Caenorhabditis elegans: one gene and its partners. Changing the gene in region 1 together with any one later gene gives a genetic interaction. Each region holds a gene or a part of one and is shown in the gene's direction. Other genes may lie near its edges.

The links.
Region 2: of daf-5 (region 1) and daf-1, changing one suppresses a phenotype caused by changing the other (phenotypic suppression), as found in Caenorhabditis elegans (one study listed by BioGRID).
Region 3: of daf-5 (region 1) and daf-14, changing one suppresses a phenotype caused by changing the other (phenotypic suppression), as found in Caenorhabditis elegans (one study listed by BioGRID).

What each region holds. Positions count from the first base shown.
Region 1 is NC_003280.10:14,030,444-14,041,082, reverse strand, and holds daf-5 (Ski protein homolog), read left to right. Parts: upstream 1-3,361; 5' UTR 3,362-3,368; coding exon 3,369-3,613; intron 3,614-4,576; coding exon 4,577-4,692; intron 4,693-4,786; coding exon 4,787-4,970; intron 4,971-5,269; coding exon 5,270-6,488; intron 6,489-7,126; coding exon 7,127-7,246; 3' UTR 7,247-7,863; downstream 7,864-10,639. UniProt on the Caenorhabditis elegans protein: Probable component of transcriptional regulatory complex with SMAD protein daf-3. Required to regulate entry into a developmentally arrested larval state known as dauer, in response to harsh environmental conditions.
Region 2 is NC_003282.8:129,143-140,604, forward strand, and holds daf-1 (Cell surface receptor daf-1), read left to right. Parts: upstream 1-3,273; 5' UTR 3,274-3,308; coding exon 3,309-3,354; intron 3,355-4,733; coding exon 4,734-4,820; intron 4,821-5,152; coding exon 5,153-5,280; intron 5,281-6,012; coding exon 6,013-6,231; intron 6,232-6,283; coding exon 6,284-7,040; intron 7,041-7,222; coding exon 7,223-7,386; intron 7,387-7,513; coding exon 7,514-7,780; intron 7,781-7,825; coding exon 7,826-8,099; intron 8,100-8,411; coding exon 8,412-8,479; 3' UTR 8,480-8,939; downstream 8,940-11,462. Other genes in the region: col-99 (Cuticle collagen 99), read right to left, coding at 9,557-9,713, 10,094-10,116, 10,193-10,354, 10,409-10,453, 10,588-10,770, 10,812-10,928, 11,000-11,158, 11,237-11,308 and 1 more. UniProt on the Caenorhabditis elegans protein: Probably involved in a TGF-beta pathway. May be a receptor for TGF-beta-like ligand daf-7. Controls the decision of whether or not larvae enter a developmentally arrested state, known as dauer, in response to environmental conditions.
Region 3 is NC_003282.8:10,246,420-10,257,556, forward strand, and holds daf-14 (Smad-related protein daf-14), read left to right. Parts: upstream 1-4,207; 5' UTR 4,208-4,226; coding exon 4,227-4,309; intron 4,310-7,197; coding exon 7,198-7,256; intron 7,257-7,669; coding exon 7,670-7,811; intron 7,812-7,858; coding exon 7,859-8,009; intron 8,010-8,075; coding exon 8,076-8,588; intron 8,589-9,128; coding exon 9,129-9,176; 3' UTR 9,177-9,433; downstream 9,434-11,137. Other genes in the region: F01G10.10 (BPI2 domain-containing protein), read left to right, coding at 331-480, 526-635, 685-807, 856-974, 1,019-1,128, 1,177-1,239, 1,747-1,972, 2,017-2,249 and 4 more; F01G10.9 (aECM cysteine-cradle domain-containing protein), read right to left, coding at 9,624-9,698, 9,879-10,399, 10,858-10,985, 11,032-11,137. UniProt on the Caenorhabditis elegans protein: Probably an atypical receptor-regulated SMAD (R-SMAD) that is an intracellular signal transducer and transcriptional modulator activated by TGF-beta-like daf-7 signaling.

The sequences.
Region 1 (10,639 bases):
CCAAATTTTGTCAAATTTTGACTAGCTTTCTCTAACTTCCGCCAGCTTTCGACTAACTTGTTCCAAAACTTCCGACAACTTTCGCAAACTTTCGACAAATTTGTCTGACTTTCGCTAACTTATCATCAAAAGCTTTGCCACTTTTGTCAACTTTCAACCAACTTTTGTCAAACTTTGTTCAGTTTTCGCAAACTTTCGTCCACACTCGATCGACTACCTTGTAGCTCTTAACAACATGGTGCATCGACACACCCCAAAATGTTCAGACTCTCACGTCTTCAAAATCCGATTTCCGGCGGAACTCCGCCTATCCATATACTCTCACTTGTTACTTTGACCCTTTCGTCGCCAGAGGCGGAGCCAGCGAGCGCTTGAACTCGTGAGCTCGGCAAGAAAAAAAAAACGACATCTAGCACAAAAAACCACGTAACGAGAAATAGACGAGCAGACAAAGCGAGAGAGTGCACAACGATGCCGTCTAGCCCACCTCATCATGAAGAGGAGCCCGAGCAGAGATGCACAGAGATAGAGAGAGTGAGAGAGAGAGATAGAAGAGGCGAGACAGCCCATCAACTGCGTCTAGACGTCTTTCCACATTTTTCAACGATCCACGCGCGCGGGCGCCCGGCGCCCTCTTCTGCAGAAACATTCTTTGCTAGCACAGCAACATGGAAAACGAGAGAGAGACTCTGAAGAAGTGCGGCGAGGAAGAAAAGTTCGGTCACATGTCCTCTCCCCGTCTTTTTTTTTTTTTTGCGCTTCGCCGTTTGGTCGCAGTCGTTAGTAGTGTCTGTTTGTGTGGAAGACGACGCGACGGGAGGGGTCTCTGGCGCCAGACTTTTCACTCTTTTTCTCTTTTCCTCGCTGATGTATTTGAAAATATCGGTGCGGAATGTTGTTTATGTATGTTTCTTGTTCTTTATTTATGGACCCCCATCATTTTTGCACTTTTGGTTTTTGAACATTTCCATGGTTACCGTGTGTGTGTGTACTTTGCTCTTAGAATCCAAGCTCCATATTTTTGGATAATTACTATGTTTAAGTGTCATATTTGTTTCCTGATAAAAAATGTGTCACACTGGTCTTTAATCTTTAAGCCCTCGTTTACCTATCGTATCGCCTCTAGAATGAGTCGCTATCAAAAAGTTTTCCACTAACGAATTGTGGGCAACTAACAAAATGTAGAACTATAGTTCTACATTTTGTTAGTTGATAACTTTTTGCTAAGTGATTCTGTGATCTATAACTTTGAGCTCTTGTATCTCCTTCAACATAATCGCTATCAAAAAGTTACCAACTTGCAAATTGTTGCTCTTAATCTGTTTTACGTTATGCCAGTTGACAACCTTTTTGGTATTTCTTGATTCAAAGTAGCTAGCTTTGATCTCCAATATCTCCTCTAGAATATGTGTTATCAAAAAGTTGTCAACTCACAAATTGTAGCCCTTAATTAGTTCTACATTTTGCTAGTTGTAACTTTTTTGATATCTCTTAATCCTACCTAGCTACAACTGTTTCAAGTCACATCTTTCTCTGATTATTTTTTTTCCTGTATTTCCACAGACTACACTGATAACGTCTATAACGCTAATCCCTCAGTCACATCTTGTTTTTGCAGTTTTTTTTTCTTGTTATTTTCAAGCAAAATAATAATTTCAAAAACCATTAGGTGTTCAAAATTCATGTTTATGTAGGAAAAATACATCTGCATTTTGGCTTCGAAAATTCTCACGCGTTCCTCACGTATAACGCATAAGCTTCCAGTTGTTTGGCTTGATTTCTCATGAATTGTGCACAATTTTTTTTGAGTTGAACGGCTTTGGGCAGTAATATCTATAGATAATTATATGCCATTGTGTTTTTTGTGTTCTTTCAAATTTTCGCTGACGTTTGTCATGTGGCGCTGAATTTCCAAAGTTTATTTCTCGTGTCACAACTTTGAGCTAATGTATCTCTGTGGGTATGAAAGTTATCAAAAAGTTGTTTACTAACAAAATATTCAACAAAAAAGTTTGTACAATTTTTTAGTTGATCACTTTTTGTATCATCAATTCCTGCAGAGATAGGCTGCTCCAATCTTTGCACACCTGAAACTACTATGTTTCAATTTTGAGCCATCATATCTCGGTTGCTTTGTGAGCTATCAAAAAGTTGTTAACTAACAAAATATTCAGCAAATTTTTTTCTACCTTTTGCCAGTTGATTAAATTTGTGTTCCACCTATTCCTGTAGAGATAGACTGCTCCAATCTTTTTGCACTTTTTTTGAATTCTATGCTGTCTCATCTTTGAGCCACCATATCTCAATTGCTATAAATGCTATAAAAAAGTTGTCAACTAAAAAAATGTTCAGCAAATTTTTTTCTACATTTTGCCAATTTAAAACATTTTTGTATCTACGCCACCGACACAGCTATAAGCTTTTTCGCAACAACAACAACTTATTGCTCTTTGCTCCACCACCACCCCATCTTCTATCTATCTTTTCGCATATACAAACACATTTCCAACAAGACCATACGAATCAAAAGATCGTACGTAGTTCCTCCTCCCCCCTCCCACCTACTACCGCCAGCACTGTCTCACTCTTCATCTGTCCCTCTTCTTTCTCGCCCACTTGGCTTTGCGATAGGAACCCAATGTTGCAATGTCCGTCCGATTTCTTCGGGGGTCTAGACTACATACATTTGTGGTGCTACATTTTTTTACTGATTTTCTTAGAAGTTCATATTTCAATTTTCTAATTTCTGGGCTACTACCGGAAATATCTCTAGACGTCCTAGCCTCCAAATCACAATGTTTTTTCGTAACTTTCAAAAGTGTAAGATCATATGTAAATCTTGACCTATAAGACTATATCCACCTTCATCAATTCCGTCACACTTTTCGTGTTCTTCTTTGTTATTGTAGTTAATCCTAATCCTCCAAGATCTCTGATAATCTTTTTTTTTTTCCTATTTTTCATTTCGAAACTCAAAATGTTCGGGCTCTCAAGTCTGGCATAGTAAATTTTACTATATTGTGTCAATAGCGTCTGTTTGTGCTCTCGCAGCTAGTCGATGGTCAAGAGTTCAACACGAAATGGGCGGATAGCGGCGGGCACACGAGAAGCAGCAAAAAGACACGCCTTCTGGGGCGGAGCAGAGTTTCTGTCTCGCCGTCTAATTCCTCATTTAACACCTTTCACAGATTTTTGCGCCAGGCCAGCTCATCTATCCTCACACATCACATGTGATTTGTGTTCTGTGTGTCAATATGCCACATCATTGTTATTCTGATAAATATATATTTCGTCTGTACATATTTTGCATTTTCGCTGCTTCCTCCCACCCACCCTTACCTAATTCATTTCCTTATTACAGATCCTATATGTCCGACTCGCCGATCGGCTCCTCGCAGCAGGTGGAGCCGGAGCACCGAACCCCAGACCTCATGGACATTGATCCATTGATTGCGAACTTGAAGGCGTTGCATGAGGAGACGAGATCAGACGACGATGATGATGGGCAACCGTCGACGTCGGCGAAGCGGAAGGATTCTCGAGCCGATGGGATTGTGATCCATCAGAAGAAGTATAGCGATCCGGGGAGATTCTTGTGGATTTGGTTGTTGGGGTGAGCAGACTTTTACTGCTGAAAAATGGGCTTAGGCTTAGACTTAGGCTTAAGTTTGGGCCTAGGCTTCGGCTTAAGCTTAGGCTTCACTTCAGGCTTAACCTTATCCTTTAATTTAGGTTTAGTCCTATGCTAAGATTCCTACGGAATTTCAACTTTTTTTCTTTTTTGCTGACAAATAGACTTTTAGGATTAAGCTTAGGCTTAGGATTAAGCTTAGGCTTAGGCTCTGGCTTTGTCTCAAGCTTAGGCTTAGGCTTAGATTTCTGCGGAGTTTCAATCTCCTCGCTTTTTCAAAATCGCGAAACCTAGAACCAAATGTCGAGAGTCTCAAAAACCCCCTAATGAGTCACATTTAATTTCACCTGCTCGACATATATCCTCAAAAAACATTAAGCAACACAAAAAAAAGAGAGGGACTCCAAAAATCACATCTCTCCCCTTCCTCATTCTATCCCATTGCTTTTTTCTCCGCGCACTTCTTCCTTCTTACTAGTGTCTAGCCAAGGGGTCCCAAATCATTATGCATTCACATTTGAGGCGCGCGCGCCCCTCACAATGTCACATGAGGGTGAGGAGTAGCTGCAGCAGAAAAAGAAGAAAAAGAAGAAGGAGCCTGCAACATTTTGTCGGAGCTCAAAAGAGCACATCCTGTACGTACACATATTTCGCCCCGCCGCCACTTCAACCTGAGCAAAGGTCAGCGTAAAGCTTTGGGGGTGCAGCGAGAAGTCTGGGACAACAAGCCTAGTAGCGTAGTTTTATTTTCAAAAAACAATCACAAGACCAAGAAGTCAATGGCGTCATCGTCTAAAAAACAGCAAAAATATTTCCACAAAAACATGGTGCACTTCCATGTTTTCGATAGGGCAGCGTGTTCACTCTATTTTATTTTGTTATCCAGGCGACTAGTTTGACTAGTTCCGTCTAGACCTCGGAAAAAAAAATTCAAAATTCTTGCAGAGTCCGTGTCCCAGCGTTGTCCATCGATGGGGAGCCACACCTGCCGATTGAGATTCTCGATGATATGCTCACAAAGAAGGACAAGAAGGATCAGATGTCGTTTCAGAATTTGCTTCGTAAGTTTTTTTTTCTTTTAGCATGATCTCTCTCGGGAACACCAGGCACCCTCGACCCTTTTAACAGGACTTTGCTGAAAAGGTAATTTTCCAGGCTACAAAAACGTCTACATCCGAATGGCGTCGCCATCCCAGTTCCGAGCAGTCATGGAGAAGAGCAAGGAGTGCGAAAACCTCAACATCACATCGCTGAGCCTGATGAGCCGGTCGGACATTGAACGGATCATGGGCGAGCTCCGCCTGGAGAGCATGCTCACGTTGGCCGAGCACGACAACTGGTAAGTGTGGCGAGCCTAAGTTCCACTAGCATAAACACTCCTGTGAGGCCGGGGCAGCTCTCTAATTAGAAGCAAGCTCCGGACGCCGCGCTTCCTACGCATCTCTCACTCTAAATAGAGAGCCCGACAAGAAAACAATTTCTCGGCCAAAGCTCATTTTTCAAAAGAGAGAAGAGACATCATCTTTCGAGTCTCTTTGAATATCTGAATAGTTTTCGGGGTCAAAAGGCCAAAAACTCAACTAAAAAAAAGACAAAAAAAACCAGCTAGACCAACAAAACAACCAAAGCCATTTCCAGGGACATCTCCGATCGAGTTCACGTTGTGCACGTCAACTTCATCGACTACTGCAGCGAATGGTTGGAGAGCGATGACTTGGAGGAGGATGTGATGCAGAGTGGAACACACGGCTATTGGTACAAGAATCGGCGGAACATGCGATGCATCGAATGCCAGCATTGTGAGGGAAAGTTCACACCGACCGACTTCATCATGCACCATCACTATCCGATCAAGCCGAGCGGTTTTGTGCACACCGGCTGTAACAGCTTCCAGTGGATTCGGCTTATTGAAGTATTCGATAAATCCAATGAGAACCTGGAAGCCTGGAATAAATTTGTCCTGAACTCGCACAGAGCTGGCAAGCGTGAATACGATGAAGCTGCGCCGCATCAGGCGCCGCCGAAGAGACCCGCTATGGAGACACCTGTGCCGGTGGCCGCGGACAACGGCTGGGAAGCTGATGAAGAAGAGGAAGGCGAGGAGATTGTGGATAGAGATGCAGATATTGAGAAGTGCAAGTTGAGGAACAAGAAGAAGATGGAGAATCTCCATATTGCCGACTTCCTCGGACCATCTGGATCCAAAGGCCTAAAGCCTAGAAACAAATTTGAGGCAGTCATCATCGAGCAGCTTAACAAAATGGACGATGCAGCTCTCGAGGCTTTATTCCTGAAATCGCCTGAAGAATACAATTTGTGGGTGAAGGAGTCCGATTTCACACATAAAGTCGTCACGCAGCAGCAAGAATGGAAGGCAAAGATGAAGGATCCGAACTTTAAGAGTCGAGCGTCAGCGAACTTCGACGTTTCCAAAGGAGAGTTCGACAACATGCGCCACTTCGACAATGCCTCCAAAGCCACGCGACAAGAAATCCAGCAGCTCGCCGAGCAATTCGCCAATCTCGATCGCGACGCCAAACTTTTGACTCCAATGGAGTTCGTGTTAAGAGAGCACGCGTTGCTCAAGAATGTCTCGGCAGACGCGATACGTGTACTGTGTAACCGTCCGCCACTGCCGCCACTGCCGCCACCGCCACCGCCACCAAAACCAAAGCCGGCTCCGGTACAGCCGATCTCGTTGGGAAATATCAACTTTGTGGCGTTAGCCCAGCAGCTGATCGCGTCTGGGATCAAGCTTCCTCTGCCGATTGTGACACCGCCAGTGGTTTCTACGCCGGCGCCAGTGATTACGCCGATTCCTGCAGCGTTGCCGATCTCGCCGAATTCTGATTTTTTGGTAAGTATACATGGGGAGTTGAATTTTTTAGAGCTCCCGTTTAAGCACTCGTAGATCTAGAGTTGAAGAGACACAGACATTCCTCCGTAAATCGACACAAATCGGCTCTTCTTGCTCCCGCGCCCTGGGTCCCGGGACGTCTGTGTCTCTTCACACTCGCTGGACCTGTGCTGCAAACACCAACACTTTGATTTTACTCCAAAATACAGAAAAGCTGATATCTCGGCTCGTTTTAAAGATCTTAGAAAATGAGAGCTACATCACGTGGTGACATGCTGTCCCATTACGGTTTGATCTACAAAAAATGCGGGAATTTTTCGCCAAAAAAAATGTGACGTCAGCACGTTCTTAACCATGCGAATTCAGTTGGGAACTCTGCGTCTCAACTCCCGCATTTTTTGTAGATCTACGTAGATCAAACCAATATGGGACACTCTGACAGTGTATTTTTTCCAACTTTCACGACTTTAAAGAAGGGCGCATTTATTCAAAATGGTCTCGCCACGCGCTCCAAAAATCGATGGATGGCGCGTAGCGAGACCTTTAAAGTCGTAAAAGTGTAGAAAAAATACACTGCTACTAGTTTGTGATTTGCGCTTATTAATTTCTATTTTGAAATTAAATATAACTAATTCCAGAAACAACAACTCTCCACGGCCATGTCATCTCCAGCTCTTCTCTCCCTCTACCCGAAGCTCACCGCCGGTGCCTATGAGCAATTGGCCCAGTTTATCAAAACCACCACCGTCAAGAATTGATTAGATGATCTTTCTTATTCCATTATGTATTCCTTTCTCCTTCAAGCCAAACCTATCATTCCTTCATGTACAAAACACTTGTGAGAATTGTTGCACCCCACCCCGGTTATGTACATATATTGAAAATGACGCTAGTCGTATTGTTTTTAAATTCATTTTACCTCTCTGTCTGTCTCTTTCTCTCTTTCTGTCCCACATCTCTCTCGCCACTTGCCATACTATTAGGTACCTCTTTTCCCCATTTTTTTCATATTCCTATCTGTTGTTAACACCGTCCTCTCCACAACAAAATACGCACTTTAAAAAATCAATGTATCTCTACCAAATGCTGCTACTCGAAAACTTGTACCTATTTCTAATAATCTTTTCGGTTCGAAATTCCTCTTTTTAATAATCACTTCTTTTTTTCTGTTAATATATATATATATATATGCTGCCCGGTTCAATATGTATTTTGTCATTCTTGAGTAGCCAAAATCCCCCCAACTCCCCCCTTCGATTCAGGACAGTCTCCATCCCAAAGCAACAGTTACGGTATCACTGCGTTTTTTATTTTCGTCGTTTTTTCTATCTATTTGTGCAAATTGAATTTGACATTCAGTAATGAACGTATTATTTCTATTTTTTGGCACATTTTGCCGATTTGCCGGAAGTTTTTAGTTCCGGCAATTTGCCGGTTTGTCGATTTGCCGGAAATTTTCAATTCCGTCAATTTGCCGGTTTCACAATTTGCCGGAAGTTTTCAACTTTTTTTTCAAACGTTTGCAGTGCTCAGGTTAAGTTTTCAATTTCGGCAATTTGCCGGTTTGCCGACTTGTCGGAAATTTTCAATTCCGGCAGTTTGCCGGAATTTTCCGGTTTGCCGACTTGCCGAAAATTTTCAATTCCGGCAGTTTGCCAGTTTCCTAATTTGCCGGAGGTTCTCAATTCCGGAAACTTGCCGGTTTGCCGATTTGCCGGAATTTTTCAATTCCGGAAATTTGCCCGTTTGTCGATTTGCCGGAAAAAATCGTTTACCGCCCACCCCTGGTGTGTCTGCTTAAACATTAAAATAACTCATTTTTGTGTCATTTTACTAAATTATTGGGGAAAAAATCAAGTTTTGGTCAAAATTTTTCAAAAACTTTTCGCCACAAGTTAAACTTCGGACAAAGTATTTATTACCCTTAGTAGTATTCTTACTAGATTCTTCTTACTCCGACTCCCTCTCCCAATCATACGGTGCATTGATGTCAACACCGGCGGTAGTACAAGCATCTGCGAGCAGCTTGTAGATGAACTGGTAGTCCACACGATCTTGATAGACTCTCGAGTCGATGTAGTCGAGGATCTTGTTGAGTTCACTACTCTGCTTGATTCCAGCAAAGAGTTTATCACGCTTTGTTGTCCGGCATGCTTGCTTCATTTTCAGAATCTCATTCCAGTCCTGGAGATCACGCCATGGAACATCTTTTGGAAGGATGAGGCCGAGCAGCGTGTAGAGCCAACTTTCACAGTCATCCTTGGGGCTCAGTTCAGTTTTTAGGTGGCTTGCAATCGATGCGAAACGAGAAATTCCCTAGAAACAATTTCACTAATAGAGTTAGATACTACGCTCACCTTGAACCCCACATTTCCTCTTCTTGCGGACTTCTGCTCATTGTTGGAGTTGACATACTTCCGCGCGAATATAAAGTTGAGAAGATAAATGTTATGCCGTTTGTCACCAAGTCCACATGCATAGTGACCAGTTCTCAGGTCACGATGAACGAATCCCTTCTTATGCAACTCTTCAATTGCCTGCTAACACTGGCGTGCTGCTCCGAGCCCAGTAGCAGATGAGAATACTTTATCAGCTCGTTCTTTTTTCAAATCAGCCAATGACTTTCCAACTTGTTGCAAAACCAAAAAACAGAAATGATCTCTGTCTTTTCTCCTGCGATCCACAATTTTCTGGAAGTGTTCACCGCCATCCACCGATTTCAAAACAGAAATCTCCATTCTCAGCTTTTCATTGCGTCTTATTTCTGTTTGTTCGATTTTCATTGTGAACGATTGCTTTTTTGCGATATCATTTACCAAGTACTCTCCAACAATAGTACCGTCAAAGAGTTGACTAAGTATCACGTATTTGGCTTCACGGCTTCTGATTATGGTTCCCTGAAAGACCACTTTATTGAGAACACAAAAATATGAGGCTACTAGCTAGGCGTGCAGGTAGGCAAAACGGCAAAGTAGCCAGAAGGCCTAGGTGGATGCATTGGTAAGTAAGTAGGTAGGCATATGTAGGGAGACGGGGAGGCTAAACACGCAGGCAGGCAGGCAATTTCAAGCAAGACGATAAGCTGGCACAAAGGAAGGATTACTTGTAAGACATTTTGAAGCTAAAGTGCCAACTTTCCAATAAAACTCACAGGCTTAAATTTGTCCTCTTCTTCCGATTCTGATTTAGTCATCTTTTTGGTTTTCAGAATAAATTGGCGAGTTAAAACTAAATAATGTTAAATATTTTTAATTTAAAATTTCATTTTTACATAGTTCTACATAAGTTCACGGCGTACATCAATTCATTTTAAAAAGCGTAAGCAAATCTAGGCAGAAATGTAGGCGTAGACAGGTACGGGAAGGCAAACATGGAGGTAGGACCAGTAGGCAGGCAGGCTAACAGCCACTTTTGTACCTACACAATAACTTCACTTTTTTAAAAATTACTGGTTTCAAAATTTTTCTTCAAAAATATTCCCCTCATTGATAACAGATAAAATGCCCTTGATAAAAACGTCTCAGAGAAAGCGAAATTAGGCTCCGCCTCTTTCTTACATCGTAAGTGGACAGGTTTCTGAGAGGAATTTTTTAGTTGGTGAGAATATGGATCAGATTTTGCAACTTTTTTATTCTTCAGTTTTTGACCGAAAAGTTACCAGCTTTCACTTAAACTTTTTTAAGACTTGAAAATTACGGATTTCCCATGTACATGGTGTTCTAGATAAGGCAAAATGTTCTAGATAAGGAAAAATTTTTAGCAAAAGGTGGATAAATTTTCGGTTGAGATATTAATTTTTTCTAACTACTCAAAAATATAGAGTTTTCGAAAATTGGAAAAATTCAGCAATTTGGTAATTTGCAGAAAAAATGCCTAAATTTGAAAATCTGACAATTCTTAGATAATGAGGGTTCTAGAAATTTTCGGAAATTGCCAAAATTATCAATTTAGTCATTTCCAGATAACTTACATTTTTTTTTTGGTAACTAGAGTTATAAGATAAGTTTGTCCAAAATTTCCGAAATTTTCTAAATGAAGTTTCCAAAAAATCAGAAATTTTGCAGGTAACTGGAGTTAAAGCATATGATAAAATCCCCAAAAAATGCTGAAATTTGCCGAAATTCAGAATTTCGGCAACTTTGACATTTTTT
Region 2 (11,462 bases), on another chromosome or scaffold:
AAATGCATCACAAGTTACTAGTTACTAGGTAACCTACTACTTATATTTTAGATTTTTTTCAAGTTTTTTTTTATTTTTTAGTTTGAAAAACGCTTTCTTTCAAAGTTTTCTCCCTTTGAAATTTGGTTTTTGGTCCGTGTCCGAGAAGAGAAAAAACTCGGCCACCAATTTTTTTTCGCGGCCACATATTTTTCTTACGGCTGTCCGAGGCTCTAAAAGTCAATTTTCAAATAGATATAGACTAAAAAAATCAAAACTAGAGAAAACTCGGCCACCGATTTTTTTTCAGGCCATGTGGAATTTTACACCACTCCCTTTTTTCTGAGAAATCAAGAAAACTCGGCCACCGATTTTTTGCAATTTTTTTCGGTCACCATTCCCAAATTCGCAAAATTTTCAAACGAAAATCGGCTATAAAAATCCTTTAAAAATAATTTTGGCCTAAAAAAAGAAGGTAGAGAAAACTCGGCCACTGACTTTATTTCGCGGCCACGTTTGGCGATGACATTTTTCAAAGAAATTTCACATATTTTTTTCCGAACTTCCACAATTTTGGTCACGTGGCCTCGAATGGGGAATCCTCGGCCACCGATTTTTTTTCGCTTTCAAGGTTTGATCCAAAAGAATCAAAAATAATTGGTGGCCGAGTTTTTGCTTTTGTCAAGAGGTCGTAAAATGGAAACCTGAGCCACCACTCTGTATTTTTTTTGTTTGAGAATTCCCTTCAGGTGCACTTCTACTTACATTAGTTTCAAAAAAAACCTGAAATAGAGAAAACTCGGCCACCGAATTTTTTGGTTGTCAAACTGTGGCCTAGTTCTGCTTTTGCCAAGAGGCCGTGAAATTGAAACTTAGGCCACCACACTTTAATTTTTTTTTCACAAAAACTGAGATAGAGAAAACTCGGCCACCGATTTTTTTTTCTCGGTCCCGTTTTTTGCCAAGCCCTCATTATTTTCAAAAAAAACACACACAAAATGGTGTATGGTTACTAAAAAAAAGAGGTCAGTGATCATTAATCAGATATCAGTTTTTGGTTTTTTTTGCCATGTTTTCTCACATTTTTCGGTTGGCAGATTTTCGTGTTTTTTTCTTTCTTTTTTTGATAAATTTATTCCTCGCTTCAAATGGCAAATGGGGTGACTTGAACTGTGTGTACGTGCATGTGAGAGGGCAGAGACGCAGACAGTGAGGGCCCCTCGGAGCAACAGATGGAGAATTATGTCAAGTTCAGTTGTTTACACATTTTTTTGCAGAACCACTCCCTCTGTGTTCTCCATCTCTTTTTTTTCATTGTGAAAAGTGTGTGCTTCTCAGTATGAAATGAACTTTGTTCGAAAAATTTTAAAATTGTTAAATGACAAGGCTTCCACAATTAAATTTGCAATTTTTTGATAGTTTTAGTACCCACGAGAATACCGTATTTCTTCTATTAGTATGGCCTCCCTATTAGACTTGCACTCCCTATTAGTATTGCCCCTCGGAGACCTTCCTTTTCTGAATTTTTACATAAGATTCGAGCTTTTTCAGAAAAAAAAAACTAGTAAGCTGAAAGTCAGAAAAATGTTCTGAAAATTAGTATTGCACTCCCTATTGGGCAAAAATAAAAAAAGTATTGCAAGCGGGAAGACTATCGAAAAATAGTATTGCAGCCATACTAATAGAAGAAATACGGTATAAGCAATTTAAGATTTTATGCTATCATTTACTATATATAAAGCGCTTATTCCGTTTGTCCATAGTTTGTAGTCTATGTAGTCTTTGTAGTCTGCGAAGTTTTAGCTTCTGGAGGGATATAAAAAATGGAGGGATATAAAAAAAAAATCAAAAATTTATTTATTTATCGATTTTATGAAAAGTTAGCAGGACCGCGTAGACCGGTACATATAGGCTAAGAAGCTATTTTTAGCAAAAATTGATAACTGTCTTGTGAAAAACATGTCTGTAAAGTTTCGTAACGAAAACTCAATCGGTTGCTCAGAAATGAGCCCAGAAGCCTTATGGAAACAAAAAATAAGGAAAAGCTTAGTACAAATTCATCTCTAAAACGGTTCAAAAAAGTCCGAATCGTATGAAAATGCACCAGAGAGTGACATTTTGTGTAATTTACCATATTTGAAAGTTTGGTAAAAATTGGAAACTCAGTAGCTTCAAAACGAGCTTAAAGGTACTAAAATGTGAAAATTAGAAGAGTTCATGCTTCCGCTTGTTTCCATGATATGAAATCAAAAAATACACTGGTAAAACAAGTGAATGAACGTTATTTAACTTTTTAAAATTTTGACACTTTTCGAAAAAATCGAAGTTTTCGTGAAAAATTTCCAAATTCTCGAGGTGTCCCATAGCAGTTGGGCGGTCGATTTTTTAACTTTTCGCTCGTTTGCTCTCAATTTTTCAGCAATCAGAATAAAATTGTAGGTACATAGGTTTTTTGGTATGCTGAATCCGATTCCGATACTAGTTTTCCATGAAAAAGTTCGAAAGTGTCTGAAACCCTAAAAATTAGGGGGTGTCCCATAGCAGTTGGGCGCACTGTATATGCATCCGTTTAAAGTTTATTTTCTACTAGCCAGCACAGTCCATAGAGTTCTAAATAGCGTTATCCCGTGCTGCGAGGCTGCCCCATTTCGTTTTGACCTACAAAAAATGCGGGATTTTTTTGCCTAAAAATATGACGTCAGCACTTTTGTAATCATGCAAAATCAGTTGTGAACTCTGCGTCTCTTCTCCCGCATTTTTTGTAGATCTACGTAGATCACGCCGAAATGAGACACTCTGAAGTAGTTTCTCCAAAAACCTCACTGAAAAATTTTGTGCAACGTTATCTGTATAGTTACAAATTTTCGATGTCTACTAAAAATATTGCAAATTGAATTATAAAGAGTTGGTCAGTTGAGAAAATGTTTTCCCATCCTACTCTCTATATCGAGTTATACATTGTCAATCTCATATCCTACCTAATTCCAAAATAACACTCAATTCAACAATAAAAGAAAGTCACGTGGCAACGCGAAAAAAAAAAGATAAACAAGGAACGTCTTCTTCTTCTCTATTCAATTCCATTCATAGTGGACTAGGTGAGCCGCTCGTCAGTATCTGCTCACCGTCTGCGTCTCTGCTTGGCTCTTCTCTTTCTCTCCATGTGCTCCGGCTCCCCCTCCTCACACTCAACCACACACACACACACACGTATACATATCTTCTTATAGTTTTGTTGCATGCTTCATCTCTTTTCTCATCTTTTGCCTTCTATGTACTTTGCTTTTTTTCCAGATCTCCTGATGAACTAAACTCTTGGGAAATAAATTATGAGGATACGGCACGTGGTGTTCTGCCTGCTCGCACTGGTTTATGGTGAGTACTTTGAGGTTTTGGTGTTTGATAGCAAAAGTCATCAATCTATTTTTCGGGTTAATTGGGTTAATATAGGTATTATTATGCAGCTAGATGATGATTTGGTTCTATCTAAACAAAAAAGTGCAATTAAAATCGAATTCTCACTGGTTTACATAAATTTTTAGTTATAATCACAAATTTAATAGTTTACGCTCTATTTTTTTTTTTGACAAACTAGATATAGTTAAACATATTTGAAATTTGATCCAATATCCAATATAAGTGAAATCAAGTTAAGGTTGTTAAGTTTGATATATGTAGTAGTAAATATATAGAAATGTTTTTCATATCAGGTTCAGCCAATCATATTCGAGTTGCGTAGTGCTTATGCAGTTGATAGGTTTTTTGGTATAATCTAGTTATGTTGTAACTCTAAAAAAATTTTCTAATTATCATCACGAATATGTATATCGTTTAAGAAGTTAGAAAAAAACACTGATTATTTTTTTATTAGCTCAAAAAGTATGTATTAGTCCCATTTAGCTGGCTTTTAGAAATTCGTGTTTAATTTTGATTAGTTTGACTATGGAAATTGTTTGAGCCCAAAGTTAAGCAATTTATGTTATTGCAGATTAGCTGCAGACTTTTTCTATTAGAATAGAATCTTATTACATAGTTATTATTGCCTAATTTCAGCTATACAAAATGCGACTTATCAACTTATCATTTTAGTTGTAGTTGATCGCAGTTGAAGAAAATTGAAATGTTATTATGATCTTAAAAAAATACATATCACTTTAATTATGAGTGACTTGAAATTGCTATTTTTTATTGCAATTCATAGTTGATATATGTTCAAAAAAGTCAACAAGTTAACTGATTTGCTGATAGTGAATATTAAATTTAGCGCAATGAGCAATTGATGCAATTAAATGTTAGTTGCAGTTTTATTCTGTTAGTGGGTATTTAGAAAATAGCTAGGTGCAATTTAAACTAAATTTTCAACAATTTAGGAATTTAAACTTTACTTTTTAGTCGCATCACTTATCTAGGCACCCCACTTTTTAACTTTAAAAGCGCCTAACAATAAGTATCTAAGTTGTCCTGTATTTTATTTTAAAATTGCCAATTTGTTAATTTTTTCTCTATATAATTAATTATCTATTGATATTTACAAAATGTGCCGAGTCCTGCCCTTCCAAAGGAAACTAGTGGGGTGCAATACCAATAGAAGAGTACAAAATTTACAGAAGTCCAAAATAATATGCATCACGGTTGAGAGCTTTTTAAATTTGTTATCAGTATTTAGGCCTTGGCTCAAACACATCATAAATTGGTACCTGTGCAAGAAAATTAACCAAATACAGCTTTCTACGACCCTTTTCAATTTTTTCCAGGCGCCGAAACTTCCGACGATGATCTCGACGAACGGACAAATATCTTCATCCGTGATAAACTGATTCCGGCGTTGAAGCTTGCAGAAGGTAGTTTGTTTTTTTGGACTCAACAGAAAATAATCGCCGGCACTCAAATTAGATGGCATTTATCGTCAGAAGAAGCTTTGGGCAAAATCCCCCGGTAGCAAAGCAAAATAATTTCGTTCGATCAAACATTAAAAGAGATTTTCAACTATATATATAATCAGTGATAAGCCTATAATCTTTAGTGTTTCCCCCGAAAGCACTAATCTATGGGAAATTTCCTTTTCGGGGGACGTGAGTTTATGCAGAAAAAAAAATTGAAGTTTAGTTTATTTTTGGAAGGATTTTTAATCTTGTGATAAGGGATTTAACAAGATTTTCTGATTTTCTTGCAGTGACCAAGGTGAATTTCACACGATTACACTTATGCCATTGCTCAAGGGAAGTTGGATGCAACGCGAGGACTACCGGATGGGTGCCTGGAATCGAGTTCCTTAATGAGACGGATCGCAGTTTTTATGAGGTTAGGCTTTAACCATGTGGTCGAGTTTTTCCTTGCCCGCAATAGATCCTTATTGACCAAAACTACAGTAATCCTACAGTACCTCAACCATCTTCCTCTATTAGACCTGTCACCAAAGTATTTGACAAAGCAAAAAAACAAGAATAATTTAATTACTCGATAACTCCAAAAAACAACAAAAAATTGTATTTTGGTTTTTTAAATTTCTTTATCTGATTGTGAATATTTTCGTTTTCCCCGCGATTTCTTTAAAAGATCAAAAGACTAAGACTAAGATAATCTTACAGTACCCCGACCCTATCCCTCCACTAACCTTAATCTCTTCAAAAAACAATGAGCATGTTTTCTCCTAAGCTACAGTAATCCTACAGTACCCCTACAGTACCCCAGTACTACTACAGTACCCCGACCCTATCCCTCTACTAATCTTAATCTCTTCAAAAAACAATGAACATGTTTTCTTCTAAGCTACAGTACTCCTACAGTACCCATACAGTACCCTTACAACACTACTACAGTACCCGACCCTATCCCTCTACTAACCTTAATCTCTTCAAAAAACAAAAAAAACATGTTTCTCCTATACTACAGTACTCTTACAGTACCCCAGAGGTGTCCTTATAAGTTTGACTAGTTTTTGTCATTTGGCAGTAAAACTACGGTTCTTCTAAAATTTCGGTTACTTGGTTACTAGGTCTCAATTCTCACACTAGACCAATCCTCTCTTTCCAGAACACGTGCTACACGGACGGAAGCTGCTACCAGAGCGCTCGGCCGTCACCCGAAATCTCACATTTCGGATGCATGGACGAGAAATCTGTGACCGACGAGACCGAGTTTCACGATACGGCAGCGAAAGTGTGCACGAACAACACGAAAGACCCGCACGCTACCGTCTGGATTTGCTGTGATAAGGGAAATTTTTGTGCGAACGAGACGATCATCCACTTGGTAAGTGTGATCTCTTTTTTGACATCCGGATTTTGAATTTTCAAATTTTCAGGCGCCAGGCCCGCAGCAGTCATCCACGTGGCTGATTCTTACTATCCTCGCCCTGCTCACGTTCATCGTGCTCCTGGGCATTGCAATTTTCCTCACCAGAAAATCATGGGAGGCGAAATTCGACTGGTATATAAGATTCAAGCCAAAACCTGGAGATCCTCTACGCGAGACGGAGAACAATGTACCGATGGTTACAATGGGCGACGGTGCTGGAAGTTCTGTGCCAGAAGTTGCTCCAATCGAGCAGCAGGGAAGCACAATGAGCACATCTGCAGGGAACTCGTTCCCTCCTGGAATCATGCCTAATAACATGAAGGATATGCTTGATGTACTCGAGGAGACAAGTGGATCTGGTATGGGTCCAACTACACTTCACAAACTCACGATTGGTGGACAGATCAGGTTAACTGGTAGAGTTGGATCCGGAAGATTTGGTAACGTGTCACGTGGAGACTACCGAGGTGAAGCGGTCGCTGTGAAGGTTTTCAATGCGCTCGACGAGCCGGCGTTCCACAAGGAGACGGAGATCTTTGAGACGCGGATGTTGAGGCATCCGAATGTGCTGAGATATATTGGAAGTGATCGGGTTGATACTGGATTTGTAACAGAACTTTGGCTGGTGACAGAGTATCATCCCAGCGGGTCCTTGCACGATTTTCTGCTCGAGAATACGGTTAACATTGAGACGTATTATAATTTGATGAGGTCGACGGCAAGTGGACTTGCGTTCCTGCACAATCAGATTGGAGGGAGCAAAGGTAAGTGCAATATACATGTGTCTCAGAAATCTAGGAGCCTAGACTAGGCCCCTGAGAAGAAAAATTTGGACCAACGGTGTCTGAAACTTTTCTATTCAGAGAGTAGTCTAGGACGCCAACTGAGTCCGCTGGCCAGACGTACTCTGTCGTTGAACATATATTAATCAAAATACAAATTCCAGAGTCCAACAAGCCAGCGATGGCTCACCGGGATATCAAGAGCAAGAACATCATGGTCAAGAACGATCTGACGTGTGCCATCGGAGATCTCGGTCTCTCGTTATCCAAGCCAGAAGACGCGGCATCAGATATTATTGCCAATGAGAACTACAAGTGCGGTACTGTTGTGAGTTTTGGGATCTAGGCCATTTTAGTCAGAGAGCTCAAGGCTCGAGACCCTGCCAAGACGGAGGTTTTGGCGTAAAGTCTAGCTATAATCTTTTTTCAAAATTTTCACAAATTAAATTTTTTAGAGATACCTTGCACCGGAAATCCTGAACAGTACGATGCAGTTCACCGTCTTCGAGAGCTACCAATGTGCCGATGTCTACTCATTTTCTCTAGTCATGTGGGAAACCCTATGCAGATGTGAAGATGGAGATGTTCTGCCGAGAGAAGCGGCCACAGTGATCCCATATATTGAGTGGACCGATCGGGATCCACAAGACGCTCAGATGTTTGATGTGGTTTGCACGCGGAGGCTCAGACCTACAGAGAATCCTCTGTGGAAGGATCATCCGGTAAGATAATAAACTTTATGTAAAGTACTTCTAACTACTTTTCAGGAAATGAAACACATTATGGAGATTATCAAAACGTGCTGGAATGGCAATCCGAGCGCCCGTTTCACCTCCTATATTTGCCGCAAACGAATGGATGAACGGCAGCAACTGTTGCTGGACAAGAAGGCAAAAGCTGTGGCCCAGACGGCAGGGGTGACAGTTCAGGATCGGAAGATTTTGGGTCCCCAGAAACCGAAAGACGAGTCACCGGCAAATGGTGCTCCGCGGATAGTTCAGAAGGAGATTGATCGAGAAGATGAGCAGGAAAATTGGCGGGGTAAGAATTTTGATCAGGCTCCTATTGTGGACCGAGCTACTAAGCCCGGACCAAAAAAAAACCAACATTTTGGGTATCATGTCTATCTGGTGCCTTAAATACCCTACGAATTTAGAAACTTTTCTCAAAAGCTTCCAACTAAACAAATTATCTTTAACCTTGAAGGTCAGATCTACCTACTACCTAATACTATAGTAGCGGACACTTAATAAGTCCAGGTCCCTAACCTAGCATAGTTTATATGCCCGCCACCGTAGAATTTTGCGCCTTTAAAGTGAAGAACACTTTTCAACATAAATTAATTTTTTTCAGAAACTGCAAAAACTCCCAATGGACACATTTCCAGTAATGACGACTCGTCACGCCCACTTCTTGGTTAGAGCCCATTTTATCTTCGTTCTTAGGCGCCAATATATCAAAATTATTATAATTATTATGTTCTATATACTACACTTATCACCTCTCGTGACTTCCTCCCACCCCCATATCGATGATCTCATTTCTCTTCCTCAACCACTAACTGTCTGCTACCTATTTCTTGTTTATTAGCGGGTGCATTATGCAGCTAATTGTCCGGCGCCCCATCATTCTAAAAGAGACTCCTCACCGTGTACCTCAGAAAAACATAAAAATCTTGTGATAGGTATGTACTGCATAAGCTTTATTACCCTCCCCCGAAACTTTGTAGTTTGTAGTTTACCCTGTTTTTTTTCTGTACCATGATTTCAAGTGTTTTTGAAATTTTATTTTGTTTTTATTGTTATTATTATTACTATTTTCAAAAAAGGAGAAAACACATTTCAATGCAAAAACTGAAAATGAAAATAAAAAATTTGATTTTAAGACATGATAATTATACAAATATCAAAGACGGGCGGAACAAGGGATTGGTGGGAAATTTGAATCTTTCATAAAAACTCAAATTAGTGGGCTTTAAATTGGGTGGAGCTTTAGAAATTGCCACAAAAGGGGCGGAGCTCTACGCTCCGCCCACAAAATGGATGGACTGCAATTTCGCCTCAAATTTTACGAAAATTCAAAAAAAAAATTTTAAGCGCCGCGCACAATATGGTTTTAATTTTTGAAAAAAAATGAAAATTGTATATTTTTGACCTATCCTTACCCGCCGTCTCTAATAATTAGTTTTTGTAGAAATACGGAAAAAGTGCACCAGGATTGTGAGCTTGGTTACGGAGAATTTTCTTCAAAAATAAGAAAATTCCTAGAAATAACGAGATTGTGACGCTGAAAAATGGAAAGAAAATGTGGGGGATGGGGGCGGAGTCACACGTGGAATTTGAAAAAATTTGTGGGGGCGGGGCGAGAGATAAACTACAAGAATAATGCAAAAAAAGTGAAGAGAGATCAGATTCATAAGAAAAAGTGTAAAAAATGTGGGACCCCTTTATTAGTAGCGCACGGCGAGGGGTACTGTACCTCCTAACAAATTTCCAATTTCAGGGCGCACCACTAATAGAGGGTAAAGAATCAGTGCCTAAAGTGGGAGCCGAGGCTTCTTCAGTCAGTGACTGGCGGCCTCGTTTCCGCACCTTTCCCGGGCTGAGCTCCTGGTAGTGAAGCCCGTTTTCGGCGCTCCCAGACGTCGTTCTTGCCCTGAAAATTGGAGGATTTGGAGTGGGAGGGGTATGGTAGGTACGGTTGGTACGGTAGGTATAATAGACAGAACTGTATTACAACTGTTTGACCTATAGAAAACGCGGAAATTTTGGTTTGAAGTCATATTCCAGAAATAAAATTCCTGCGATTTCTGTTGGTCAAAAGCCCAAAGGACCTCTGTAGTACTGTACAGTCATATTACTCGATGTACAGTACAAAGTTTCACTCTCCAGAAAAATAAACCCAGTTATAAACGTTTCTATCAAGCCAGTGAACACTCTGACTTTTATCAAACGTTTCTTTTTTCCAATGAAATATTATATATAGTTCAAAAAAAAATCTGCACTTCAATTTAAGAATTTTGCCTCCAAACTTACCCGTAATTTATTCGAACATTGCTCTGAAATATTTCGGGAATTTCAAAAAATTTTCTGACTCCAAAACTCAGAAAACCGGTAACTTTACTCTCAACTTACATCCATAGGTTTCCAAGAACAATAAGGCAGAGGTAACCCATCTGGCCCAGTAGGACATGGTGCATCGAGTCCAGGTATTCCCTGATCTCCCTTCTCTCCAGCTGGACCAGGCCTTCCGTCGATTCCTGGCTCCCCATCGTTGCCGGGCGGACCTTGTGGACCCTGAAATTGGTATTTTATTAGGGTTTTTTACGAAATTTTTTGAAAGAGTCGCACCATAGGCCCCGGATATCCTTTCGATCCTTCGGGCCCTTGTTTTCCCTGTAACTCATTGCGGTTAGGCTTTCATGAATCACCAAACACCACACTACACAAAGAAAATTGAAAAGGACCAGGATGCCACTACACCGAGTTTGAATTAAAATGAAAAGAAAAAAGAAAAAAACCAAACCTACCGTTTCTCCCTCTGTGCCGTGAGGGCCTCGAAGACCCATCGGGCCTGGTGGACCTGGGAGACCCAGGGATCCAGGCTGGCCTGGAAGCCCTGGAGGTCCAAGATCACCCTTTTCTCCAGGCGGTCCTGGAAGGCCAGGTGGACCCCGTGGGCCTGACTGACTGCCGCTGATCTCTCCGGCGCCCTGGAATAGGTTCAGGTTTACTGTATGGGTAGTGAACTTACAGGTTGCCCTGGCAATCCGGGCGGTCCGATGTCTCCTCGATCTCCGCGCTCTCCGGAATGTCCTGGAAGACCCTGAGGTCCACGTTCTCCTGACGGCCCTACTGGTCCGTGATGTCCCTGTAATTTTGCGGTTGAAAACGATTATTCTGGTAAGTTACATAAGTGTCAAGCTTCTAAAAAACACCTACCCTAGGTCCCGGTGGTCCTGGTGGTCCTGGAATCACATTCTTGCCACGTAGCTCGGAGATGTCCTCAATAAGCAGCGGCATAAGCTCGGTCTTCAGCAGCTTCTTCAAATCCTCATTGATAGTCCCGTTCGGTGCGACGAGTGAGATTCCGTGTCGACCCTGTTTGGATAGATAGAAAAGTGGATAGGAAAGAATGCTAATTAAAAGTCATGCAAAATCATGTTAGTGCACACTCACTCTCCGTCCGCGTTTGCCGGGCGTTCCTTCTGGTCCGGGGAGTCCCATGTCCCCGCGTAAGCCTTGCTCGCCCTGAATAACTAGAAGGATTAGCGAAAAAGCACACACAACACGTCACACTAGGTAAGTCTAACAGGCATCAAACATATTGAGATGTCACTTACCTTTTCTCCTTTGTCCCCTGGCCGTCCATCTCTTCCTGGTGGTCCTGGGGGTCCGACTAAAG
Region 3 (11,137 bases), on another chromosome or scaffold:
ATGAAACGCGAAGTTTTGCTTTATCTACAAAAAAAATAATACGGTATACGATATTTGCGAAATGCGAAGAGTGCCCTTTGAAGATTACTGTACTTTTAAAAAAATTATCGCAAGATCTCGTTATTGATAGTTTTTGAAATTTGGCAGCAAAGTAACAAATTTTAATGAAACAAAAAACTGCATTTGACACCATAGAAACAATGTTGCATATATCAATTTAATATGACATCTCAGTGACTTCAGTGAAACACTTGTTTTACCGTAGTCCAAATGAAATTAAAAATCTAATCTTTCATAAAATCTTCATCAACATATTCATTTTTTTTATAGAAAAACACCTCAGCTGTCAACCCGGGTATCTACCTTCGAATCATGCCAAACGGGTTAGCTTACTTGAGAGAAGTTGGAATGAAAGTGATCAATGAGCAGATTCTTAAATTACAACTGCCAAATATTAGAGAACCGATTGAAAATGGAGAGGTTAGATTTATCGATAATCTTACAATAAAACATGTTATATAATAGGTTTCAATTTACAATCTTCAAATGAGCAAGTACTGGGCTCCACAGGAATATGCATTGGATATGTCTGAACCAAGTACATTTGCGTGGAGCATGAGCAAGATGCATTTGAGGTGATAAATAATATTATACTAGTTCTAGATATTCTACATTAATTTTCAGAGCTGCTGGAGACTTTCAAGCCACTTTGAATAGTCCTCTTCTGTTGCCTACCGTACCAATTACAGGGCATTTTGAAGCTCTTTTAGGTCACATTAGTTTGTATATTACTGTTAATATGGAACGGTAAGGGAGTTTTGATAAATTTTGATTTTTGAAACGAGAAAATTCTAGAAATGCAAATGGAGCTCCTCAAGTAAGATCTACTGGATGCAGAAGTGCAATTGGATATGTTGATTTGAATGTAAGAAACACTGGAGTTATCACTGATTTCTTTATCAACGCGTTTAAAGGTAAGTTGATCCCTGAAACATAAAATTTAAATCAAACATTTAAGCATTCTTGATTGGAAACTTCAAACCACAAGTTGAACAGAAGATGTGTAAAATGATTGAATCGATTATTGATCGAGATATGAATATTTTACTATCCAACATGCCCCTAAAAGTGAGTAAATTCAAATTTTCTTTCTGAAAACTTTTGAATATTTTAAAGATTCGAATCAATGAGAACAACTTGGACATCATCGGAGAAACATTTGGAGTTGCTCCAAGAAAGGTGAGGTATGTCTCATTAATATATTTTAAACGTTGATCAAGAGGCTCAAAGTCGTAAAAAACCACGACAATCGATAGCTCAAATGAAGCCTTATGATTGAATTACCAAACTGATGCTAGAAAATTTGCATGGGTGTAGGGAAATTAGAAACAAGAAAGTTTGAAAAAAGTTTGCCATCTGTTTGACAGCGATGTGGTAATCTTTTACAAGGCTTTCAATGAGTTGCCAGTTGATATTGTCACGTATTTTCAGATTGAATCCAATTATTTTGAAGGTGTACAAAAAAAATAATAAATTGTATTGTATTTGAAATATATACTCAAAATGTGCCATGAAACCTATAGTTATAACTAAAAAGTACTTTAAATTTTTTTTAGATCAGTCAACATTTTGAAAAATTGTCTAATTATCGGATAATTTAGTATGTTTGAGTTACAGTAGAAAATTTAGAGTCGAATGCTCAACTTTCAAACTGTTTTCTTTTGATTTTAACGACCTTTATTTCAGCATCATCGGGCTGGAAAGTTATCAAATCTGAATGCCAAGAATATCACCTTGACCCATTTCGTACAACGGCTTCGTGATAAGGAGTTAGTGTTGGATTATCAAATGTTGACAGCTCCATTTGTACAAAATGGTGCTGTAAATATGATGTCAAAGGGAGAAATCTCATATCGAGGTCAAGGTGGAACTCCCTTCTTTCCACCAAATGTTAGAATTCCACCTCCACATGGTATGAATTATTTCAACTGCCGTTCTAAAAGTAATTTATTTCAGGAGTTCATATGATTGAATTCTATGCAAGTGATTATCTGGCTAATTCAATGTTGTATCATTCATATCGTCAAAAGTTCCTTGACGTCACAGTTGGACCCGAAAGTTCTCCACAGCTTCAAGGACTTTTGCTTACAAGTTGTGGTCCTGCTGGTTTCTGTCTTGGAGAGTTCCTTGGTACACTTGGAGAACAATTCCCGGATAGACAAGTTGAAATTGAATTTTTCGCAAAGAAAGTAGGTTACCTAATATACGATCCTAATTATTTGACACACTTATTTTCAGGCTCCACTAATTGTGTTCATTGATGATAGGTCTCGGTTTAGACTCCATGGAGGTCTTAATATGTACGTAAGACCTTCGAAGCCAAATCAAGTTAAACAGCAGGTACTGATTTATTTGATTCTATGAAACAGAAATTCCTTTTATTTTCGTAAAGATCCTAAAAGCTGACACGACAATGACTGCAAACGTAAACTTGTGGATCAATGGATCAATTATTGTTGGAAACTCAACGATTGAAAATTTGGATTTTAAGGTGAGATGTTTCATCCAATCATCTATGAATCATTCTTACTGAAGCTATGTAATTTCAAGTCGTACGACGTACGCCAAATATTATATGTTTTTATGTGTTTTTACAAATGGTAATTTAATCGAAACGTAAATTATTAATAGGCCTTTAAAATCACCAGAAAGCTCAAAATTGTAAAATAAAGAGGTTACGTAAAATGTAAATAGGCCCAATCTATCCCAATCTTCCACACTAGTTTAAAACATTTTGGGTTAAAGATGGAAAAATTTGAACTTGGGTAAGACTTGAATGCGATTATATGATATTTCACCAAGAAAATTGTCACCAATTTATTTTTTTGGAAGCCGGCCTGGATGTTTCAGTTTTGAGGTGCTAATCAAATTGTCATATTTCAGCTCCTTGAAACAAAAATCAACGATGTCGACCAAGATTCATTTTCCGACTTGGGATTATTTGGTGCTGAATTTTTAGAGAAGCTTCTCACTGAAATTCTTCAAATGGGAATTGCTCTGCCAACCATGCAAGGTGTAATTCTGAAGAGTCCAAAGTGAGTTTGAAACGAGCTCTATAATATGAATTTATTATAATTTCAGATTAACTTTCCACGATCGTTATCTGAAAGTTTCAACATATTTCAAACTTGACGAGGAATACGCAGGAAGTCTTGTCAGAGGAGCTGTTGGAAAAACGTTACGTGGACCATTGTGATGAATGACAAAGTTACCAAAAAACAGAAATATCGATATTTAGTTACCGGTTTATATGTACATTTCGAGAAAAGAATACTGATGAATATATAATAAATAAGTTATTATCTGCGAAACTGTTTGAAGAAATAAGGACAGTTTTCATCTCCGTAATTTGCAAAACTGCAAATAAAATTAAATATTTGCAAGGGACCAAAAATTGTTTTTTCTGTCGAATGTATAATATGAGAGTTTCGATTGAACGTGTCAAGTCTTTCATAGAGATTCTATTCAACAATTCAAACAATACTTTCAATCGAACAGGTATCATTTCATTCGTGATCATTCATTTCAATATCTTCTTGATCGTCAAATAAACTTATCTTTTCAACGTTTAACTTTCGTTCACATTACCAATGTACTTTTCTCATTTTTCTTTTTCTGTGGTTTTTAATCATTTCTCTACTGGCCAAGCTCCACCATTAATCTCAATCTGACAGAATATTATTTTGCTGAATTACAGGGAATCTTCAAAACTGGATCCAAATTATTTGCAATCGAGGGTTGTCCAACTATCGAATAATTTGTTATGATCAAAATTCTAGTCGTTTTTAAAGGTACAATTGGGTCTATTACTGGCTTAACAACCTGATGTGCATCGTTTAGTAATGTCAATTCGTATTTATTTGTCTCATATTGAACCCTTCCTAGTCACGCCACTTCACATAAAACCATCACCATGGAGTCATTGCGTTTCTATGTTTTTCTGCTCATTTTCTACTCTTTCTATATACTTTTGGATGTGACTTGATCATCTAAAGTCTCGCTTTTCACACAATTGTTTTTGACTTTTTCATTCAAAGTGCAAAAATTGTGTAGTAGATGTTTGATTTGTTACCTGTTATTCAAACAATCCATAAATCGGCACCCTTCCGTTTATATTTTGGAGATTTGTTGTTTCGAACACACATTTTTTTGCAGAAACATTTATAATGTCCAACGAACAAGAAGATTTTGGATCACTTTTTAACAACCAAGGAGAGTTAGGAATCATGGACGATTTTGCCGAGTTTGGGTAAGTAAGTTTTTAAACGGGTGATGCTGATAACATTTATAATCGTACTTTTTACGATGTGTCAAGATGTCTTAACCGTGCAATAACAGTTGTCTCTGCGTCTCAATTCCCGCATTTATTGTAGATCATATGGGACATGGAACAGCCTGACACCACGTGATTTTTCCGATAATAGTCACATTCAATTATGTTTACTTCTGTTTTTTAATGAAAAATAATTTGTAATTTTTCCGTGTCAAATAGTTTCCTAACTCCCGGCTGTTAACAAACTATTATAAAAGTCGCTCAAAACTTTTTTCAATGCAATTTTAGTTATGTAAACTTATAACAAAAGTAAATTAAAGGTGACTGACTATTTTTAGTCCAATATATATACCAATGTTGACAGGGTTTTACAAACTGGAAGCTATTTTTGATGATTCAAGCTTTTTATTTCAAAAATCTGTCTGACTTTTCTGGACTGCTCTACTCTATTGAAACTTTAAACTCAATTTTACAAAAAACAAGTAATTGAACTGTTTTCTCGGCTTGAAAAAAAACCTAGAATGTTCCAATTATTAGGCAACACCACTAAGTTATATCAGTAACTTCAACAAAACGTTTCAAACCAAATAAGTTTTATATTTGTCCAGCACACTATCACTTCCCCCGTAGACAGTGAGATGGAAATATATTGTTAACCTGACTGACTCGTTCCGACTTTTATAAGACAAGATGCATATTTCTCTCTCCGCCCTGTCTACGCATTTCTGTGTCTTGATCTTTTGAACCAAAAAGTTTACAACGGATGTCCTGGGGCGGAAACAATAAATACCTCTCTTTCTCGTAGTTTGCAACGTACCCGCTCTTCTTGAGTTCACCGGAATCAAAACACAATTATTGTATTTGCCCCTGTCTTTTCCTCATTTACATTTTGAAGTTTCCCCAAAAGTTCAGTATCGTGGTTTGTTACTCAATTTGCAATTCCTAGCAATTTTTAAAAAATTATGAAAGAAGTCCCCAAATATTCCAAGAAATTCAGGAAAATTTGATGAAAAATAGGGAAAAAACCACAATGTTCTCTTTTTAAATTTTTCAAAAAAAATTTTTTGTAAATAATTCGAAGTTTAGACTCCAACAGGCACAATCAAACAAACATCTAAAGCCGAAAATTATGATAATTTGTTTATCTCTACGAGCCTTTTATGAATCTGATCTCTTAACCCAATAAACGAATAATATCTTCTTGATCTATCTGACCTTTTCGTGTTACTGTTCTCGTCTCTTTTCCTGCAATCGGCAAATATTTGAGCACAGCGCAACAGATGGACCACACTTTGTAGACAGAGCCACGTTGCAGTGTTCTAGAGTCACACTATTTTAGGGGTTTTCGGTATGGATTTTTTTATCGATTTTTTTAAATTTATTAATTTTTATTCAATGAAATTTCCAATGTTGAAAAACATTAATTTGTTGGAAAGATGAAAAAATTAAAATTTCAGAGGGTAACTAAAAATATTTCGAATTTTATTTCGTAACTACCCCTCCTCGAACTATTCTTCTTCCGAACGGTAATAACGAACCTTTTGTCATCTTTCCCTAACCTTCTTTTGTTCATTTCTCTTATTCATTCAAAGTAGTCGTCATTGAAAATACAATTCAGATGACGTTCTCAACCTCGTCTTTTTTTCCATTTCCTTCTATTTATCGATCACGTGCTATCGTTCCCTATTACGCGCTCACTCCAACTTTTTTCTTCCTGTTAGGAGCAGAAGCTCACGTGTTGCCGATGCTCTGAGTATATTCGTTCTCTATTTCTCTCCGTTCTCTCTCTCTCTCTCTCTCTCTCTTCTCTCTCTTTTTCTCTCTTTTTTCCCATTTCTTTCCTCCTTTCACTTACATTTGTTGTGACAGAAAACACACACATACATACCCTAACGCTCACTCTCGCTCCTCTCCTCTCTCGTTTTTCCTATCTAGTTCTCAAAATATTTCTCACGTCTCTTCTAGTTCCAATACTATTTTTTTAACCGTCGACTTTTATAAACTGATGTCAGAAACGAGCGCAATTCCAAAAAGAAAGAGTATGACTGACGTCAACAAAGGTGAAAGTTCTTGATCTGTTTCCAATACTCATATACATATATTTATTTCAATTTTCTTCAAAAACTCTATATTTGGTTCTATTCTGCCAGATCTAGTTTTTAAAAAGGAACCATAGTTCGTTCCCGAATATGAAAAAAAGTTAAGTAGCAACATTTAATTTACCGCATCATACATTATCTAACATTAGATATATAGTTGAATACACTTTTTTCAAGAACGAGACAGCACCTGTCTGGCAACTTCACGTACACTCTTATGAGAGATAACAATCTAAGGTCGTGAGACTTGCCCTATAACAAGTCTAGTCGACTTTTTAATTTCTTCTAATACACCTGTTATGACGACACGTTGCTAGACTCTGACAATAAGGAAACTAGACCTGAAGAAAAAGTGAACATATTTTTTAAATGATTTTGTGTTTTTCACTTAGAAAATCGAATGATTTCAGTACATTTATTTTTATATTTATTTATCAAATGAATATCCCAAAACTATCTTCCTTCTATAGCATGCTGATAGAGAGCAAAAAAATTTAACTGAACCGATTTCAAAACCTCTAATACGACGTCATTATTTCTTATCTATAGGTATTCTGGCATTATTATGCACTCAATTGACTTTTTCTCTATTTTCACGTCAGCTAATTTCACCAACAACCCTCATATTCGTAATCCTTAGATAATCCCTTCCTTATAGGATCTCATTATCTCATAATTATTTCATTTTGTATTAATATCAAAGCCAACCGACTTCCTTGTTGTTTTGTGTTTTTCTTAACTCGTTTTAAATATTCGACTTTTCAGTTTTCAAACTACAACAACACCCACAAATTGGGCGGCTGCGGGGAATTATATGTACCCAGGTGAGTCAAATTGTAGACATGACAAAGTTATTGGAAAACTAGACAGAAGTGGCTATAACTGCAAAAAATATATTTATAAAACAGACGTTTTCAGTTCCTGATCTCAGAATGCCTCAAATCACATAAAATATAAATATGCTTCAATTTTTTGTTAGAAAACAATTATAAACATGAAAAATATCTTTAAAAATATTTCGTATGATTTCGATGTTTTTCAGACGATTTATTTCCGGTTTGTCATATGATTTAATATGAATCAGAAAGTTCTAAAACGAAAATTATCCAGCTTAAGTCCCTCATCATCCATATGAGTCACCGTGATCACAATCACTTGGGAAACAAGTTTCTGACTAATTTAACATTTGGAATTGAGCTTTTATTTTATTGTTCAAACTGATATACAAAAATTACAGATCAAGTTCACTTACCGGCAAGCATCAATAATCCAAACATGCCAATAAACGACTGGTTGGAAGATGCTCCAATGCCTGATTGCTATAATGTTCCGTCAACATCAACTGATGAAAATAATGATCCGTTTCCATTTTCAAATATGTACGTTTATTTGAAAGTTATACACATTCACATACCTCTTTTTTTAGCTCAAGCCAATCTTCTTTGAAACCAAAAACTCCTGAAAAGGCAGTAGTTGAAGTACGTCCTACTGGAAACGAGATGTTGGATCCTGAACCCAAATATCCAAAAGAAGAAAAACCGTGGTGTACCATATTTTACTACGAGCTGACTGTTCGAGTAAGTTCAAAATTATTTGAGAAAGAATTTCAAAAAACGGATAGCATAACAATGATATATTTTCAGCTAGGAAAAGCATTCGAAGCCAAAGTCCCAACAATTACAATCGATGGTGCAACTGGAGCAAGTGATGAGTGCCGAATGTCGCTTACATCTCAACCATCTTCGAGAAATTCAAAAAGCTCACAAATCCGAAACACAGTTGGAGCAGGAATTCAATTGGCATATGAAAATGGAGAACTTTGGCTAACTGTACTGACTGACCAAATTGTTTTTGTACAATGCCCATTCCTGAACCAGACATTGAATAAGCCACTGAAATATGTGTTTCGGTTGCAAAACAAAGGAGATCAAAAAAGAATGAAAATATTCGATAAGGAGCAGTTTGAACAGGAGAAAACATTGGCTCTCGGACCTTTAACTGAAAAAGAGGTGGCTGATGAACGAATGAGAATCTTCTCCAACATCAGAGTCTCTTTCTGTAAAGGATTCGGAGAAACGTATTCCCGTTTGAAAGTTGTGAATTTACCGTGTTGGATTGAAATTATCTTGCATGAGCCAGCTGATGAGTATGATACAGTGAGTTTTTAAACTTTAATGTAATTTTTCCTAAATTAAAAATATAATATTAAAACACAATTTCCGATAGTGCGGTCCAACTGCAGCTGAAATACCCAAGATCTCTGAAAATGTTGTACACCACTGAGCCGACTACTGAATTTTACTGGCTAGCAATTTTTGTATAGGCTTAAAGTATCTCCATTGAAGATTAAAGAATCGATTTTTTAGCCACCTGGATTCTTTCGGTGAATCAAGGCTATATTTGTTTCCGAAATAAATAGATAAATTAAAAAACTTCATGAAAGACAAATAATTAATAATTATATTCACATTTGTCTTATCCGGTTCTATTTATAAAATAATTAAACAAAATATGACTATTTCAATCATTAAAACAAAAACACAAAAAATTCAACATATGATCTAGTAATGGAATTAACTGTTAAGTGTATGGCATAGTTGAGACCATTTTGAATTTGAATTTGAATTTAAATTTAAACACTTGAAATAACACACAAAATTGTTTCAAGTAATTAAAGTTCCATTAATAATCTTCAGGTTTTCCGTATTAATAACGAACGGCCGGAAATAGGATCCCGATCATGATTGCTTCAATATTTTCACTTCAATGATTGGTTCTAAGCATTCGAATGCGTACCCGTTTGATTAATATTTCCATTTCTGTCCCAGTTTTTAATTTTCATTTCTTTTGGTTAAAAAATTCCCAGTCTCTTGAATGCTTTTCTAAAATCTTTAATTCAATTATTTATTAGAATCTTCTGTTTTGAGAACTTTGTAATGTAATTAAATAATTTGATGAAATGATTATGAATGCGAATAAATTATTAAAATAATATTAATAATACATTTTTGGTGGAAAGGAGAGGAACCTGAAACAATAAATTAGAAATCTGACGACAAAAGTGTCAATTGTGGAAATAAATAAAATGAGATGATCCCGTATGGGTTGGAAATGTCTTTAAATGTAGGATGAGCACAAAACTAAAAGAGCAAAGAAAACAGAGAACATTTTGAGAAAAATTAAGTCATAGTTTAGAAGAATTTCTTGCTTTTACAAGAATCAATAAAATGGAATATGAGTTCACAGCTGGCGTTTGGAGCATACATCTGCAAATAAGGAAAATTAACATGATTGTGAAAAAGTGATTTGATTAAATGTGTCTCTGTTGTAACACCAACAACAGGAATTCACAAAAGAGCACCAAAAATACGTAACAGATAGGCACGTAGTCACTCCTAAATGCCTACCTGTAGTGGCAGCCTTGATTTCTATATTTTAAAATTTACCTGCAGGAAGGGACAGTTGCCTCTCGCCCATTTCGAGACATCTTTGATACTAAAACTCTTGGCCAGTTTTGTTATTTTTGCACAACTCTCTGCGGTAGCTTCCTGCATTTCTTGAGGATTCGATTGTAGAATTGGCTTCAACTTAAGAATATCATGACCCACTTGTTGTTGAACAGGTTGTATTGGTTGGGAAGGTGGTAAAGCCATTCCTGGTGGAGCCAATGGCATTGGCATCGGAGCACCCGGAGGAAGCGGGATTCTCATTGGTTGTGGGGCACCGGGCAATGGAACTGGACGATGAAGCATATTAGTTGTCGAAGAGACTGGAAGAGTCATTGGTCCAGGTACTCGGTATGGTTGATTATATGGAATTTGATGGCGAAGACGTTTCATTGATCTTAATGGAGAAAGATCTCGTGTTGTTTGATGACGATCAGAGTTTCCGATTTGTTGATCGAAACCAGCTTCATCCGAGAAGTCATCAGAAAAGAGTATCGGACGTCTGCGACGCATTCGGTATTCTGAATATTAAGATAACTTTGGAAAAGTGTAAACATACAACTTTTTTTTTGAAACTACTTTACCTAATTTCAAATTTGGAAAAAAAATCTTAGCAATCACTGGAATTTTCCTGAACTTCGGGGTATGACCAAACATGTTTCGTATGATATAAAATTTCAGTAACTACTTCATGCTTTTATTATTTTGAGAAAATGTTTGTTGGTTGAACTATATTCCTTCTTTGCAACATTTTCGCGGAGATAAATATTTTAATGATCACAGATAAAAGGATACATCGATCATCAAGGTTCGATTTCTTCATAAATCGTTGATTATTTGATCTTTAAGTAATCTTTCAGACCATATTGTAATGAAAAATAGTTTAAATTTAATTAAAAGTAATCATATTTCGATTTAAATTTATATTATTGCTTTCCGATAAGAATTTAGTATTAATTTGAATTCAAGTTAAACTAACCTCTTCTCATTGGTCTGTATAATGGAATATCGTCATAATCATCATAAGTAGACATATCATATGGCCTCTTCCGTGATCCTCTGTGATACATTGAATTTGGATAATCTTCTTCATTATCTTGATTTCCTCTGAAATATTTTAATAAAAAATTTAAATAGTTTCTTTTTTTTCTACATTTTATTCTGCTGATTGTTGTATCGTTCAATTGCTGAGTTTGACGAAGAGGATGATGACGTTGTATAGGACCGTTGTTTTGACACATTTGCAGAAGATGAAGGTG